Caenorhabditis elegans: one gene and its partners. The protein of the gene in region 2 purifies or fractionates together with the protein of the main gene of each other region. This does not show direct contact. Each region holds a gene or a part of one and is shown on either strand. Other genes may lie near its edges.

The links. Proteins that work in one complex are often made in the same cells at the same time.
Region 1: the proteins of nish-1 (region 2) and Y67D2.5 fractionate together in Caenorhabditis elegans (co-fractionation; one large-scale study listed by BioGRID). This does not show direct contact.
Region 3: the proteins of nish-1 (region 2) and nrd-1 fractionate together in Caenorhabditis elegans (co-fractionation; one large-scale study listed by BioGRID). This does not show direct contact.

Annotation. Positions count from the first base shown.
Region 1 is NC_003281.10:1,537,918-1,542,085, forward strand, and holds Y67D2.5 (N-acetyltransferase 9-like protein), read right to left. Parts: upstream 2,328-4,168; 5' UTR 2,283-2,327; coding exon 2,052-2,282; intron 1,683-2,051; coding exon 1,509-1,682; intron 797-1,508; coding exon 593-796; 3' UTR 554-592; downstream 1-553. Other genes in the region: mtg-1 (CP-type G domain-containing protein), read left to right, coding at 9-211; cisd-3.2 (Iron-binding zinc finger CDGSH type domain-containing protein), read left to right, coding at 2,589-2,633, 2,801-2,962, 4,009-4,152.
Region 2 is NC_003282.8:10,862,490-10,867,337, reverse strand, and holds the start of nish-1 (PX domain-containing protein), read right to left. Parts: upstream 3,008-4,848; coding exon 2,909-3,007; intron 2,378-2,908; coding exon 2,093-2,377; intron 2,081-2,092; exon of another isoform or gene 1,873-2,080; coding exon of another isoform or gene 1,471-1,872; intron 1,420-1,470; coding exon of another isoform or gene 1,103-1,419; intron 984-1,102; coding exon of another isoform or gene 561-983; intron 1-560. Other genes in the region: F13E9.11 (uncharacterized protein), read left to right, coding at 561-983, 1,103-1,419, 1,471-1,872; rbm-22 (Pre-mRNA-splicing factor RBM22), read right to left, coding at 3,288-3,376, 3,427-3,567, 4,438-4,848.
Region 3 is NC_003279.8:4,597,370-4,604,333, reverse strand, and holds nrd-1 (CID domain-containing protein), read left to right. Parts: upstream 1-1,667; 5' UTR 1,668-1,694; coding exon 1,695-1,856; intron 1,857-1,925; coding exon 1,926-2,184; intron 2,185-2,230; coding exon 2,231-2,750; intron 2,751-2,819; coding exon 2,820-3,442; intron 3,443-3,708; coding exon 3,709-4,247; intron 4,248-4,308; coding exon 4,309-4,443; intron 4,444-4,762; coding exon 4,763-5,214; intron 5,215-5,704; coding exon 5,705-5,799; intron 5,800-5,854; coding exon 5,855-6,036; 3' UTR 6,037-6,411; downstream 6,412-6,964. Other genes in the region: eaf-1 (Ell-associated factor Eaf), read right to left, coding at 278-918, 997-1,111.

The sequences.
Region 1 (4,168 bases), on a different chromosome or scaffold from region 2:
TTTTGCAGATATTTCGCCGAAACAGGCTCCAATTGATGATATTCAGCAAGTTTTGGCCCTAACTTGCGCTGCAAATGACTTTAGAATTCAACAAAGTATTGGAGAAAGATGGGATTTTGATCGAGCCGCCAAATATTTCATTCAACTCTACAGAAATCGAAAATTCAAGGATTCTTGCCTCGATAATGAGCATTTTTTGTATCGAAATTAGGAGATTTTTCGTTGATTTTTCATGTTTTTTGTTGTTATTTTTAGAAATATTTGATAAAAACTGCATTTTTAATGATTTTTCCCCATTAAAATCGGCAAAAAACGGGATAAAACCTCAATTGTAAGTAAAAAATTTGAATTCCCGGGCTGCTAAACAACACGCGCTGTGGCGTACTAGCGGAGTGTCGTAGTTTTTGGCGGAAAATTGGATTATCGAGTGGTTTTAAGGCTTTTATCTCAATTTTTTGATATATTTTGCATTAAAAAAAGCTTCTGAACACAGAATTTTGGAATTTTGTAAAAAATATAGTGAAAAAAATTTTTACAAAAAATTTTTTTTTTTTGAAAAACATTTATTTTCAATGTAAAAGTACACAAATAATTATTTATACTCCTTAATTTCTGCATTTTTCTCCAAAAAACTCGAAAATTCAGAAATCAATCGATTTTTCGGCAATTCAAATGTGAATTCCTTGAAAGCAGTGCTATAGCCGATTTGTTTGAATCCTAGTTTCTTCTTGAATAGGCTCAGGCTTGGTGTGTTGTCATCGGTAATTTTTACGCAGAATTGCTCGATTTTCAGATTCTGAAAAATTGAAAATTTTCGAAAAAAATATTTTTTTTGCTCATTTTTCAAAACTGTCAAAAACCATGTCAAAATTCTTATTCTCCTCATTTTCAGCTTCAAAATGACCCCCAACACGACCATATTCCGTTCAATTTGACAACCGACACAGCTGATATCGGTGCTACAGTAACCCGCGTGGCGAGACCCAAAATTTTCAAATTGCGCGGAACCAGGACATGATGGGGGTCATTTTGACGCTGAAAGTGTGGAGAACTCGAATTTCAGCTCAAAATCGAGAAATTTTGAAGAATAAAATTTTTCTGAAAAACAAAAAAAAATTCAATTTTTTTTCGAACTAAAATTTTTTTAATTTTCAAAACTGTCAAAAATCATGTTAAAATTCATATTCTCCACGTCACCAGCTTTAAATTGACCCCTACAAGCCTATGTTCCGCGCATTTTTCCCACCGACACAGCTGATATCGGTGCTACAGTAACCCGCGTGGCGAGACCTAAAATTTTCAAACTACGCGGAACCAGTGCGTGATGGGGGGTCATTTTGAAGCTGGGAGTGAGGAGAACTCGAATTTTTATAAAAGAAATTAGTTAGGAGAAATTTGACAAAAAAAATTCTGAAAAAAAAAATTGTTTCAGAATTTTTTTTCAAAATTTTTTTTTCAACTTTTACATCCAACAAAAACTTTTTTTTAGAAGAAAAAAAGTATTTTACCTCATACGCCCACGCAATAATAACCCTCACAGCCTCCTCTCCAATGCCTTTTCCTCTGCCACGTGGCTCCGCTATCATAACCTCTACCTCACCAGTGATGACGTCATCGCTAGGGTTTTCAGTGGACGGTGACGTGGAAATGAACAAATTCACATCGCCAAGCATGTGATCTACCTGAAATTTCGGAAAATTTCCAAAAAAAAAATCGGAAAAAAACACACTTTTCTTTTCGAAAATGCAAAAATTTTTGATAAAAACAGAATTTTTAGTGATTTTTCACATTGAAATCGGCAAAAAAGTGTAAAAAACCCCAATTTTAAGTCAAAAATTTGAATTCGCGGGTGACCAGCGCTAAACAACACGCGCTGTGGCGTACTAGGAGTGTCGTAGTTTTTGGCGGAAAAGTCGATTTTCGAGTGGTTATAATGCTATTTTCCCAATTTTTTGGTCTATTTTTAATTCAAAACGGTTCTGAGCCCGTGAATTTCAAATTTTTGGAGGCAAAAACTTGAAAAAAACGGGGTTTTCCTGAAAAATCCCTACTTCTTCTCCACTTTCATTCATTTCAAGAACGATAAACGTTAGTTTATCCTCATCATTTCGCCAAGTTTTCTGCATTTCATATTCCTCATCCAACGACAATTGTTCAGAGCCGGTGAGTCGGCGAATCTCCTCGTTTTCCATCCATTTGTGGTATTTTGCAACGTGGCACGGCTCGTACGGCACTAAAATGCACTTTTTTGCGACGATTTTCACGTTGGAATTGAGTTTCATTGCCTGGAATATCGAAAAATGCGAGAAATTCGAGGAAAATCATGTAAAAACGCCGGAAAATGAAAAAAATTATATAAATTCCCGTGGCCGCGGCCTAGAAATCCCAACTGTTTCTCACTGGAGCGCGCTTGCTCGCTCCACGGGCAAATTTGTTTTCAGCCATTTTTAGTGATTTTCCTCTGAAAATCCGTGGTTTTTCACGATTTTTTCGCTTAAAATATTGAAAAATCATGAATTTGTATGCGAAAATCCATTAAAAACCTATTTTTCACCTCAAAAACCTCGATTTTCAGGTCGAATTGAGCCATGCTCGGAAGAACGTGCCAAAAGCTTCAGGCAGCCGCGCCGATTGTGAGTTATTAGTGGAAAATTGTCAATTTCGACTGAAAAAGCTGGAAAAGTCGTGGAAAATCAATCAAAATCGCTGAAATTTTTTTTTCTGCGAAAAAATCCCGATTTTTGCCAGATTTTCACCAATTTCCGCGAAAAATCACTGAAAAAAATTTCAAAATTTCCAGCAATCATCGATTCGTGGAAAAGCACGTGGCGTCGTTGTTCAAAGCTATTCTGCAGACGTTTTGCCGTACAAAGGGCAGCCAGCAGGCACAAAGTCGAATCGTGTGAAGCTTGAAGCCGGAAAAACGTATCATTGGTGCTCATGCGGGTTGAGCATCACTCAGGTGCTTATTTTCGAGCATTTTCTCATGGAAATCGTCGAAAAACAGCTAAAATGCCGAAAAAATCGCGGAAAATTGATAAAATTTAGCTATTTTAGGCTTAAAATGGCGCCTATGTGCCTTTAAAGTCGTGATGAAACCCAAAATTTTGTTAAACGTGAATGCTAGTGAAAAAATTACAAAAAAAGCTCATTTTTGCTCAAATTTTAATCAATATTCTAGAAAAATCCAACATTTTTCGAAAATTACCCTAATTTTCCCGGAAAAAGCTCAGACGGTCTATTTTTGTTACGAAAAACGCTGGAAATAAAGATTTTTTGCGATTTTCTGCTCAAAAATTTGGTTATTGCAGCTATAATTAACGAATTTTGCCCTAAAATTAGAATTCCGGTCATTTTTCGCGTTTAAATATTTTTAATCACATTTCTAGTGATTTTGCCCAAATTTTCAGTTAAAAATTAAGTTTTTCACTCATTTTTACCCCTAGAAATTGGTTTTTTCGCTCAAAATAGATTGGCGGCCTAACTTTTGGGATTTCTAGGCCACCAATCTGAAAACGAAAAATCTTCTAAAAATCGATAATTCCCCTGTGACTTGTGCGTTTCTCAGATTTCTGGCATAAATACTGTGTTTATTCACATTTTCAGTCTTAAATTGGCTGAAAATGTGAATAAATACCGTATTTCTGCCAACAATTTGGCAATAGAGCACATTTGTCACTCGGACATGCGGAAGCTATGCCCAAATTTTCAATGATTTTCACACATTTTCACACATTTTCAGTACAAAATTCGAGTTCTCCATCACATTTTCCCCCCCTAACCCGATTTTCAGTCAATTTAGACTAATTGTCGTAAAGTTCGGTGCCAAGTACGCAAGGCACTCGGTGTTTGCGTACTTTTGGGACTACCGTACCCCTCGAAATTCAAATTTAAATCTAGAGACCCAGAAAAAGGGTGCTAGGCGTGTGAAATTCGACGACGATTTTAACACTGAAAAATGCCTTAAAAAACCGGAAAATTCCTGAAAAATCCAAAAATTTTTTGCAGCCATTCTGCGACGGAACCCACAAAACGCCCGGATTAACCAACGTTCGCCCCGTCAGTTTTCAAGTTGAAAAAACTGGAATTTATCCAATGTGTGACTGCAAACAGACTGGAACTCGACCAATTTGCGATGGAAAACACGCTGATGTACGGGGAAAATGGG
Region 2 (4,848 bases):
GTAGTTAAGAAGGTCTTTAGATTGAACATCTAAATAATTCCTCAAATGTAGAACTTGAAGTTCGGATATGAACTGGATTTGTAGTACTTCATTTGAATCCAAAGTAGGACCAAATTCGAACATTCTCTACTACAAGATTTATTTTCTTTCTCTGTTTTCTTTTTATTCATCTTGCCATTCTATTGTATTCTTCCTGTCCACTGGGTTTTTTTAACGATCACCGATCCAGCCCTATCCTTGCCTTTAGTAATCCTCTTAAACCAGACTATCTCGATTTCTCGGACGACCTTTCTTTTCCTTTTTTCCGTTCCGAAAACAGTTTGAAAAATAGAGGAAAAATGCCCATGGGAAGTCGCATCCGTGCAATGCAAACAGTCTTCGCTCTTTTCAAAACTCCTTCCTTTCTTTCTTCTTTTCTCACCAAATGGCACACTTGCTCTTTCCCGGTGTCGATTCATCAATTCGCTATCATCATATTGAGTCACCAAAACCTTCGGAAGATCCCCTTCAAAATCCATGGTTTCCGCAACCGTCACCCTCTCAATCATGTCCTGTTACAGAAAATACTCGCTTGGAGTCCGGCAGAGATCCACGACATATTACTGAAGAATCAATTGAAGAAAACGGAGACGAACGAATCGCTCATTTCGAGTACTACGAAGGAGCAGAAGAATTCCCAATTAAAGTACCACCGGAGCAGACTGCTGCTCTAATCTCACAATCGAAGACTACAAATTCAGCAATGGCAGTTCTTCCTGGCCGCTGTGTGCGAGCCTTTCTTGATTCATTTGCATTAATAATTAGTCTTGCTTTAGTAGTTCTACAGTTTGGATTGATAGATTGGTACTATTTGAATGTCACTGGAGAAAATGTGTGGGCCGCTTGGATTGGACCAGACTTTGTGGTTCTACTGATACTAGGAGTACTTGGAGTATTGGCTATCAAATACAATACAGTTCAAATGGAGGAGTGCTGTTCAATTGGTAAGTTCAAATGTTTGTAAGAGTTTCTTCAGTATTCTAATCTATTTGAACTATTGTATTCAACTAGATTGACACTTTCAAAAAGTTCAAGATCTCTGATAATTAATGAAATATTTCAGACAGTCGGGTTAAATACGCTTGCTTCGCCTGGGGAGCGTACTCCCTTATTCTGATCTCAAAAATTGCCACGTGCTTCCGCATGTTCTACGAGGACATTCCTCCAACGCCGCTTGACAACAATGACAAACTTTTCGACGACTTCCTGTTCAAAGCTGGGCTTTCTCTGTCCGTTTTGATTTTCTTGTTCATCTTCGAGTCACATCACTATACCCCATTGGTTTCTGTTCGTCAAGTGTACATCTCATATCTTGTTGCTGCCATTTGCCTCGATCTTATCGATAATATCTACTTCCTAGACTTGCTTTGGCAAGCATCGGTAAGTCGAACTACAAACTACCTAGTATCTAATTCATTTACTTTTTTTCAGAAGGACAAATGGAATCTAGAACTATGGCTCGAACTGACAATCCTGATTGTTGCCTGTATCAACTTCTTCATGCCAACCTTCGCTCTCGCCAAACTTCGTTACGCTAAAGTTCCACGATTCCTGCTCGTAAGTGAGAAGCTCTGGGCATTCCTCTACGTTCTCATTGTCAATGGGCCTTTCCTCGGACTCCGTATCTACCTGTACATTGTGCTTGAAGTTCAACAACACGGAAAGAAGTTTGATCCATCACTGTTTGCGGTCAAGAATATTGCTATGATCTACATCGCTCTTCGTGAACTTTGGACACGTCTTCAATACTGGAGAATGAAACGACGTGCAGCTTTGAGTAGAAATGAGCTTTCAGCAGCTATTCACAATCATGAAGAAGAAGAGCATGAATAATAATAATAATAGTTGCCTGTCTAATTGAAAATGAGCCACTTTGCTCATTTTCAATATCCTATCCCAATGCTTTCATAAAGTTTACCTCAGTCAGTTAGATGTATATAAGTTTCACTATTTCTTCTTTATTCGCCTATCCTCTTTCTCTGCCACATTTTTTTCTATTGGAAACACCTTGGTCTCAGTTCAAATAAATTTTGATATTTTCTGCAAAACTTACATATTGATGAAAATCGAAAAACTTCGCTGTAATCAACGGAAGCGAATGCACATTCTTCTGCTTTTGATACCAAACTTCTAATTCCAAAAGAGCTCGAACATACTTCTCCAATTCAAGTCGTCGTTCTTCGATAAATTCGAGATCCTTGTTTCCCAGTCGTTTCTTTGGAGGAAGAAATGATTTCTTTCGATCTAGAAATCGATGTACATCGTAAGCGTCAAAATCACTATAACGTCGTTCAACGGTCCAAGTGTAGGTGTCAACTGTGATTTGGATACGATATACCTGAAAATTACTCAATTGCAAAAAGTTTCAATGTACTTTTATGGAACTTGTGGGATTATTTGATTTTAATGAAACTTTTAAATTATAGTTGTTCAAAAATTAGATACCAAACTTAGCTTTATGACAGTTTTCTCATCATTTTTTTCAAATTAAGAAACCATCAAATTTTTTATTTTCGGATTCTAAATCATTCTTATTACCCAGCGAATTTTTGCGATTTTTTTTGGAAAAACGTTTGTTTCTGCAAAATGTTTATCGATGTTTCGTAGTTTTTTTTTTCAATAAAAAACATATACTCAAATATAACAATAGTAAACATGTAAATTTTGACAAATTGAGAGAAGAAAATGGAAAATTCCGCTGAGACGAGTTCGAAATTACGGTATTCATTAAAGACGCACACCTTTTCGAATTTAACAAGATTTGTCGTGTTGAGACCGGGTACAGTAATTTTGACGAAAAAATCGCGAAATTTCGCCTCTGGGTTTTATTTTCATCGTTTTTTTTCTGAATTATAGTGACAACACTTACCGTATACTTTCCTTCATCAATCATTCTAAAATTCAAAATTTTCGCATTGAAATTTGCATCCATTTGAGGTGATACTGCCTGTATATTTAGTAAGGCCATCTGAAAAGATTTTCTGAAATTTCAGGAAAGTTCTTTGACAACATGAAAATAGGAAAAAATGGATTTGACCAGTCCAATAAAATGATAATATCAGAATTAGAAAGTTCGAAAAATGTTTATTGTAAGAACGAACATGAGACCGAAGAAGAATAATTAGGGAGTTTTTTCAGAAAAGAACGGAAGATTCTTTTTAAAGTTTGAACAAAACACAATAAAAATGGAAAGAAAAATTACAGAACGAGGACAGAATGAAAAGGAAAGTGATAAACTAATTGAAAATTTACTCAATAACGTCACCCTTGGCGCCAAGACGGGTTGGATCTTGACTCGGATAATAAATCGATGATGATGATGACGCACCGCTTGATTCTGGAAAATATTTTAATACTAATATTCGTCTTCAAAAAAATAAAACTGACCTCCAGCCTTCACTGGCCGTACATTTGGTACAACAAGACTTCTTGGCGCAGCGAAAGTTGGTGGCGCTGGTGGACGTGGCATTGATCCTGTGAATCTTTGTTGTGATGATGTTGAAGGGGCGAGACCATCTGGCACTGGCACTGAAAATTAAAATATTTAAGAAAATGTACATGGAAGGGAAACATGGGAATGTGGAAATAATGATTGTTGGAAGACTGGCGCCAATCCGCTTTTGAAACATGACACCTAACCTAACTGCCAACAATAGAAAACGAAATAAAGAAACATTTTTCTCTTTAGGATTGGTTGAAAAAATCTTCTTTTAGAAACAATTTTTGGTGTGTGGAAAACGATGCGATTAAAAATTGTTCCCTTGAAGAGAATTCACATCAAAATTTGTCACAACGAGAGGTTTCAAAAAGATTCAGTGCCGACCAGCAATTCTACAAAATATGCCAGTGTAGCATGTTTTCCAAATATTTTTCAAGTAAATTATGTGATCGAATATACATAAATAGAACAATATTTTCTTAATCTCTGAATCAAGGGTGTCGGTTTTTCGATTTTTTTTTCTAAAATCGACCATTTCGTTTTTTTTGTTGATATTTCGAAGAATAGCTTAAAATTTCGGTAACTGTTCTTCTTATTAGAAGAAATTTACATGTTTTCATTAACATAAACAAAATTTGATTTAAAAAAATATATTCTATGGTAAAATTTCTAAGAATTTCTATCGATTTTCGATTTTTAGTAAAATCAAAAAAAATTTCGCTTTTAGTGTTTCGAGTTTCTGAGCAATTTTTTGATGATATTATTGCTGAGAATAGCTTTTATTTTAGTTGAACAATTAAAGAAGTGCTCAAAAATTATTGGAACGTCATTGATTTTCTATATTTATTCAATAAGTTTTAATGAAAAAGATTGGGAGAACATGCCAAACTGGCGCATTTTGATTGCAAATAATCTGTTCAAAATTATGTTTCTATTGTTGAAATTGAAAAGAAACTTACAAATCGGTACTGATGGTACTGGAGTAACATAATTTGAGTTATCTGCTGCTCTCTTGGCCTGTGGTTCTCCCCATCTAATCGTCAATCTTTTTCCTTTGATAAAAGTCTTGTTGAATGATCTTTCAGCTGCACGTTCGGCAGCTTCACGAGTTGTAAACTCAATAAATGCACATCCTTTCTCTGTTAGCACACGAAGACAACGAATATCTCCATATTGATAAAAGAAATCATTCAAATCTTTTTCGGTAACTTGCTGAGCTCCAGACGGACCCAGATTTCCAATGTACAATGTAGTGATAGTAGTGTCTGCAGGTGGAGAAAGAGTCGGAGCAGCAGCTGCACGATTGAGAATCTTCTCAGCGACTGGATCATTCGTTCCGTAATAACGATCACGAATGTTTTGACGGGACA
Region 3 (6,964 bases), on a different chromosome or scaffold from region 2:
CTGTTTAGCGCAAGAAGCATGCTCTATTGATAAAATGGTTTCAGCGAATTTTAAAAATTTCAGAGAAACTTTAGTTCGACTTTAAAATAGTGCACGGATTAAACAGAAAACCTGAAAAAATAAAACTGTTGAATAGCCTGAATGAAAAAATTTATGATTGCGATAGATAGCCCGGTTTTGAAATAAATAAAAAATCACAGAAGCAAATAACTGCCACCACTAGTACAAGTACACAAGAAAGACGGTTGAATACACTGAATAATATTATGTTTTAAAATTAGTCATCTTCGTCGGAGCTTTCGCTAAGTGCCAATCCATACTTCTCCTCAGAATCTTTGTTTTTATTTCCACTACTTGATATATAGGGAGCCACGTGGCTTTCTTTGTGATTGTAGGTATTTGAAGACGAAGGCGGTGCGGGTTCTCTTTCTGTATATGGTTTGGGCTTTTTCATTTCTTCCAATAATATCTTCTCGCTCTCATCTTCATCATCACTGGAATCGCCATTCGATTTGTCGGAATCAGATGATCCATCAGAATCACTACTCGAATCTGATGTATCTCTCTGCATTTGTTTCTGAATTTTCGCTTTCTCCTCCGGTGAAGATGGTCCAGATCGCTGATTATTAGAAGAAGTTCTCAATCTTTCGATTCCACGTTTCAATGCGAGTTCTGTTCCTTGATCTAGATCTCTCGTCTTTTTTACATTAATATTGCTCGTAATTTTCTCCAAGCGAACTGTGTTGGTCTTTTTGTCGAAGAACAGAAGACATTCTTTCGGTTTTGCTTCTTTTTTCGATCCTTTATATACAGTCATATTGTCTCCTTCGCTTGGTACAGAGACATGTACATCACCGCTGTTCCCAAACGCTATGAAGGTGTCGGCATTGTTTGATACAGAGCTTGGCTTGAAATCGTCTGTAAATTTTAGCTATTTCGATTTTATATTTTTAAATTTCTGATATATTTAATCTTAAAATTGTGCAGTTAACCTACATCTTAGCGTGTGAAATTGCTCTGCCTTAGGGTCACTTTTCCGTCCTTTTACTTCAAATGACTTCCCGAGGGTCAAGGTGTAAGTACCATTCGGAATATCACTTGACTCTGCCATGTGAAACTGAAAAAATGATTATTATTAAATCATATGTGAATATTTTGAATTTTTTAATTTGAAAAAAAAATCGATAATTTTATTATATATTACAATGAAATTCTTCAGAATAGTGCCAATTGTGTGCGCGAGAGTACCATTAGCTGTGGGCGGAGTCTTCGGTTGGCAAGCCTGGCACGCCGTTTTGCAAGTGTGCGGCACAGTGTTGACCTCGGCGCTTTACCATTTTTATGCCGGCTTTCTTTCCTATTTTCATTCAAAACGCTATAATTAGATGAATTTGTACATAAATTATTAAATTATATTCAACTACTGAAAAAGTATCAAAATCATGAAAAAACTTAGTGGGAAAATAGTTTACATTGGATTTTAAACCGTCGACATATCGCATTTATCGATTTTTCAAAAATAAGCGTTTGGAATATTTGCTATTCGTTAAAATTAGCACATCCACCTTTACTCTTAATTCTGCAATTGTATCTTTCCACTATTCCTTTTATTCAGTTTATTTTCTCGCTTCGCATTATCGATTTTAATTTGAATTGGCTTTTTTCAGAACAAAACTCTCATCAGTGGGATCACCATGGAGACGGAAGTGATGAAATCGTTTAATAATGAATTGTCGTCACTATTCGACTCGAAAAACATGAGCAAGAACAAGATTCAGGATATAACAAAGGCTGCGATCAAAGCAAAAAGCCAATATAAGCATGTGGTTTTTTCAGTTGAAAAACTTATCAATAAGGTTAGAATGATTTCGAGAAATCGAAATTTAAATTAAATAATTTATTTATTTTTATTAATGATTTTTCAGTGCAAGCCAGATCAACGTCTAAATGTGCTCTATGTAATCGATTCAATAGTCCGTGCTTCAAAACATCAACTTAAAGAAAAAGACACATTTGGCCCACGGTTTATGAAGCAGTTTGACAAGTTTTTGATGCCGCTGTTAAAGTGTGGACAGAAAGAGAAAATGAGAACAGTTAGAACTCTTAATTTGTGGATGTCCAATAAAGTTTTCAAGGAATCAGAGATTCAACCACTGAGAGAGATGTGCAAGGCTTCTGGATTAAGTAAGTAATTATGGTGGAGAATTCAAAAAAAAAGTTTGATTTTTAGCTATCGATTTCGAGGAAGTTGAGCTCGCCGTGAAGGGAAAACAGGCTGATATGAGCATTTATTCCGGAGTTTACAAGAAAAAGCCAAAAAGGTCTTCATCATCGTCTCAACCGAAATCTCGTACTCCTACAAATCCACATCCGGATGATGGACTTCTCGGTGCTGGACCATCATCTGCTCTGAGATCTGTCCCAGATATTCCGAACTTTGTGCTTTCTGAAGATTACTTCCTTGGAACTATTTCTGAGAGAGAAATGTTGGAATTGGTTCAGAAGTTCGGCATAGATCGCAGTGGAGTTTTAAGTAAGGACAAGAATCTTCTCCAGAGAGCACTTCAAATATTCGCTGGATCCTTGAGTCAAAAAGTAGAAGAAGTTCTAGCGGAGAATAATCGGATTAATGGAAGTAGTATACAGAATGTGTTAACAAAAGATTTTGAATACTCGGATGATGAAGAAGAGAAGGAAAAGGAACCACAACCAGAGAAACAGAAAAATCTGCCACATGCTCAAGTCCTGTTGTGAGTTTTTGATGCATTTTATTTTTTTCTTAATTCCAGAATGTTTCTAATTTTTTTTTCAAATTCTAGATTGGCTCAAAGTTTGCTTACTCAACCTCAAATACTCGCAAAACTCGCTGAAGTCTTGATACCTCAAGGAAATCCATTTGGTCTTCCGTTCCCAGGCGAACATATTGTTCCAACATCGTCAGCAGCTTTAACATTGGGAGCTCCACCACCAAATCTGATGGCTCTTCAACAATCTCTGCCGCCAGGTTTTCCAAATCAACAGCTCGGACTTCCAAATCTCTCAGGCCTCAACCAAGCCCAACTGATGAATGTTCAAAATGCTCAGAATATGCTCCAACTGCAACAACGTGCTGCTCAACTTCAAGCTCTACAAGGAAATCCAAATGCTCAGCGAAATCTTCTTATGCTTGGAAATCCATTGCTTAATCCATTTGCTCTTCAACATGGTGTTAATCCAATGTTAAATGACCTCCAAGCCGCCGCAGCAGCTCAACAGCAAGCAATGTTGAATGAAGCCGCACAGAGTCCAGAGAAAAAAATATTGGAATTAAGTGGTGGAAATAGTGGAATTAACAATAGTGGAGATGTGGAACGAGCTCGATTAAGGGAAAAAGAGAAGGAAAGAGAGAGCAAAGAGAGAAGAAGAATGGGATTGCCACCTGTTAGAATTGGATTTACTATTAGTATGTTTTACAACAACGAGTTGCGATTTTGTATGATTTTACAAGAAGAGCTAAAAAACTTCCAAAAAAAAGGGATTTTTGGATGATTTCAATTTTGATTTTAAAAATAATAAAATCATTCGAAGTCTTTTTCGTATAAAAAATTGGTGCTCCTTGTAAAAATCATACAAAATCACTATGAAATAATTCCTGAAATATTGTATCGAAACAATATCTTAACAAATTTATTGAAATTCAAACAAATTAATATTTTCTTCAATTTACAGTCGCCTCACGTACACTTTGGCTCAAGAAAATCCCCACAAATATAGTTGAAAACGATTTGAAGCAAGCCGTCGAATCATGTGGAGAAGCATCTCGTGTTAAAGTTATCGGAAATCGTGCATGCGCCTACATCACAATGGAAAATCGAAGATCTGCGAACGATGTTGTTTCAAAAATGCGTGAAGTTTCGGTCGCCAAGAAAATGGTCAAAGTTTACTGGGCAAGAAGTCCTGGGATGGATTCAGATCAATTTTCTGATTTATGGGATTCTAATCGTGGAGTCTTGGAAATCCCATATGAAAAACTTCCGCTGGATTTAGTGGCACTTTGTGAAGGAGCTATGTTGGATATTGAATCTCTACCAATTGAAAAGAAATTGCTTTATAAAGAAACCGGCGAAACAGTGATTTCTATACCACCACCAAATATTCAACCTCCAGTCCCACATCCACCTCCAATGGGTTTCCCATTCCAACATCAACTCACACAATTACCCGGTCAACCAAGACCTGCAGGTCTTCCTCCAGGTGTTCCACCGATGGTAATTTATCTCTTTAATAATGATTTTTGTAGACTTTTATATCTTACCAAATTAATTTCAGTTCAATCTCAATGCTCCACCACCACCCGGAATTCCAGGATATCCACCGGCTCCACCACCGCCAGGAGTTGGTCCTCCACCACCACAGGGTATTCCACCAATGGGATTCGATCCAAATAAGCCACCACCACCAATGGTAAGAAGTTATTAAAGGATGACTTCTGAGTTTTTGGATTGTAAAGACTCGAAATTTGCCCAAATGAACGAGTTTCGGTGGTTCAAAATTTCGAAAAAATGAAAAAATTTATGCTAAAAGAAAACAGAAAACTCGGCCACCCATTTAAAATAAAAAAGAAAAATTTTCATTCGAAAATCGCCACCACAGAACGATATAAACCCTTTATAAGATCATTTTCGGCAAGTTTCAGAAAAATCTGGGTGCATGATTTTCCTAGGTCACGTAGTAAAACCCGCTCTATGTTATTTAAAATGTCTATTCTAATCAAAAATTTCAGTTCCAACAAGGATTCAACGCTGGCGCACCACCACCACCATTTGGCCGTGGAGCTGGTCCAATGAGCTCATTCCCACCACCACCACGTGGCGGTATGCATCATATGCCACCACCACCATCATTCCGTGGTGGACGTGGAGGACACGGTGGTCCACCACCACCACATTTTGATAGACGAGGTGGTGGAGGTCCACCATTCCGTCCGGAAAATGGACGTGGACGTCTTTTGGATCAATCTGAAATGTGGAATCGTGAACAACGAGAGATGCGCGGCGGCGGTGGTGCAGGAAGAGATGGAGGAAGAGAACATCGTGATTATGATCGTGATCGTTCTCAAATTGATCGTCGTAGACAAGATGATATGGGAGCTAGGAGACGTTCTCGTTGGGGAGATGATGATCGTCGTGATGATGACCGCCGTGATGATAGACGTGATGATCGTCGTGAATCAAGGTTTGTTAGACTGATCTGTAATTAAAGTGGAGTAGGCATGAAAAAATGCAAATTGTCTCAAATTCAGAAGTACCACAAAAGAAAAACGAAAAAGCTGCGTTAAATTTGAAAAAAAAACAGCGCTTTTGCAACTCCTGCTAACATCCAAAAATTTTCAAATAAGAAACAATTATTGAGTATTTCTGGCCTTTGCTAAAAATTATAAAAATTGGAAAAACCGCACAAAAAAAGCAGAGTTTGCGTCGAAATTGGAAAAAAAGCCGAACTGCGGCATTGTTTTAGGCGGAGTTCAGAGTCAAACGCGCGGTAATTCAAATTAGGAGATTAGCAAGAGTTGTAAAATCGTAAAAATAATATTTTCATGCTTCATGCATTTTTTTTTCATTTCCTTTTTGTAGTTAATTGGCCAGCTTGAGTATTTTGAAGTAAAATTCCCATTGATGGAACTCCACCTTTAATCAATAAAAAATTAATCAAAACAAAGTTACAGACGCCGCTCTCCACGGTCTCCACGTTCCCCGGATCGGCGTACAAGACGTTCTCCAAGCTATGAAAGAGAGGAACCACCAGTCAAAAAAACTAGTGGTAAATTGCAAAAAAAAAAATAGATTGAAATTTCTAATTATTTCAATATTTTCAGTCGAAGAAGAAACCGTATCCTCTACAACCCTTGATGAATTGAAACCATCAGTCGAACCGACTCCAGTTCCAGCACCAATTCCAGCTCCAGCTCCAGAGCTTAAAGCTGCAGAAGAGCCAGTGAAAATTGTTGCAGAACATCATGAAGATCAGACTGATGAGGTGCCGATGGATCTTGAATAAGGAATTATAGAGATATTGAATTGAATACTTAATAATGTTTAAAAGCATTGCATCTACTTGAATTTAAACAATTTTTTTTTTTTAAACTTGTTTTACTCAATTAGTCGAAAACTTCTTCTACTCCATAACCTGTGTATGTAATTGAATCTTCATTTCCATGAATCTCTTGTTCTCCGGGACATATTGTTTAATCCTGATGCTTTCAATTGTTTTTTGACTTTATTGTAAGATTTAATTTTCATGGCCCACTTACCCCTTTCTCGCTCGCCCTAAATTCTTCGTTTTTTATGATCATTTGTCTCCCTTATGTACCCACATTTTCTTTTTCTTTGTTTTTTTCTCTCTATTTTATTAATATGTCTCAATGAACAATATATTATTATATTGTTGAGATATCACAAATGACCAGCTCCAGTGGTTTGTCGTCAATGATGCATCTTATCAGTTGAATAATGTAAACGGCCTGTTACACAGAAGTAATAAAAAGTCGCAGGCTCCGGGTTCAAAGTCAACCGTGTCTGTGAGCCAGCCCGCAACGAAAATATTAGCCTGACTATGTGAAAAACCACATTTTTATGGGCCCCCACGCTGGTTTCATGTGTTCAAATAGTTTGACAAGTACTTTGAAGTTATGATAAGGAATTTGGAAAATGTCAACAACTGGGTTATCAGTAAATTATTCCTATTTTTGAAACTTTTTTTCTAAAAATATTTAAAAAAAAACCCAGACGCGAAATGTTGCGATTTTTCTCCAAATATACGGTACCTGGTCTCGACACGACAAAAAATGCCTTTAAATGGGTACTGTACTCTCGAACTTTCTTTTTCTGCAGACTTTACATGGGTTTTTTAATAGTTTTCTTTTCAGATTAAAAAAATTATTATTCAATTGATAAAAAAACTGGTTAATAATATTTATTTTTTTTTG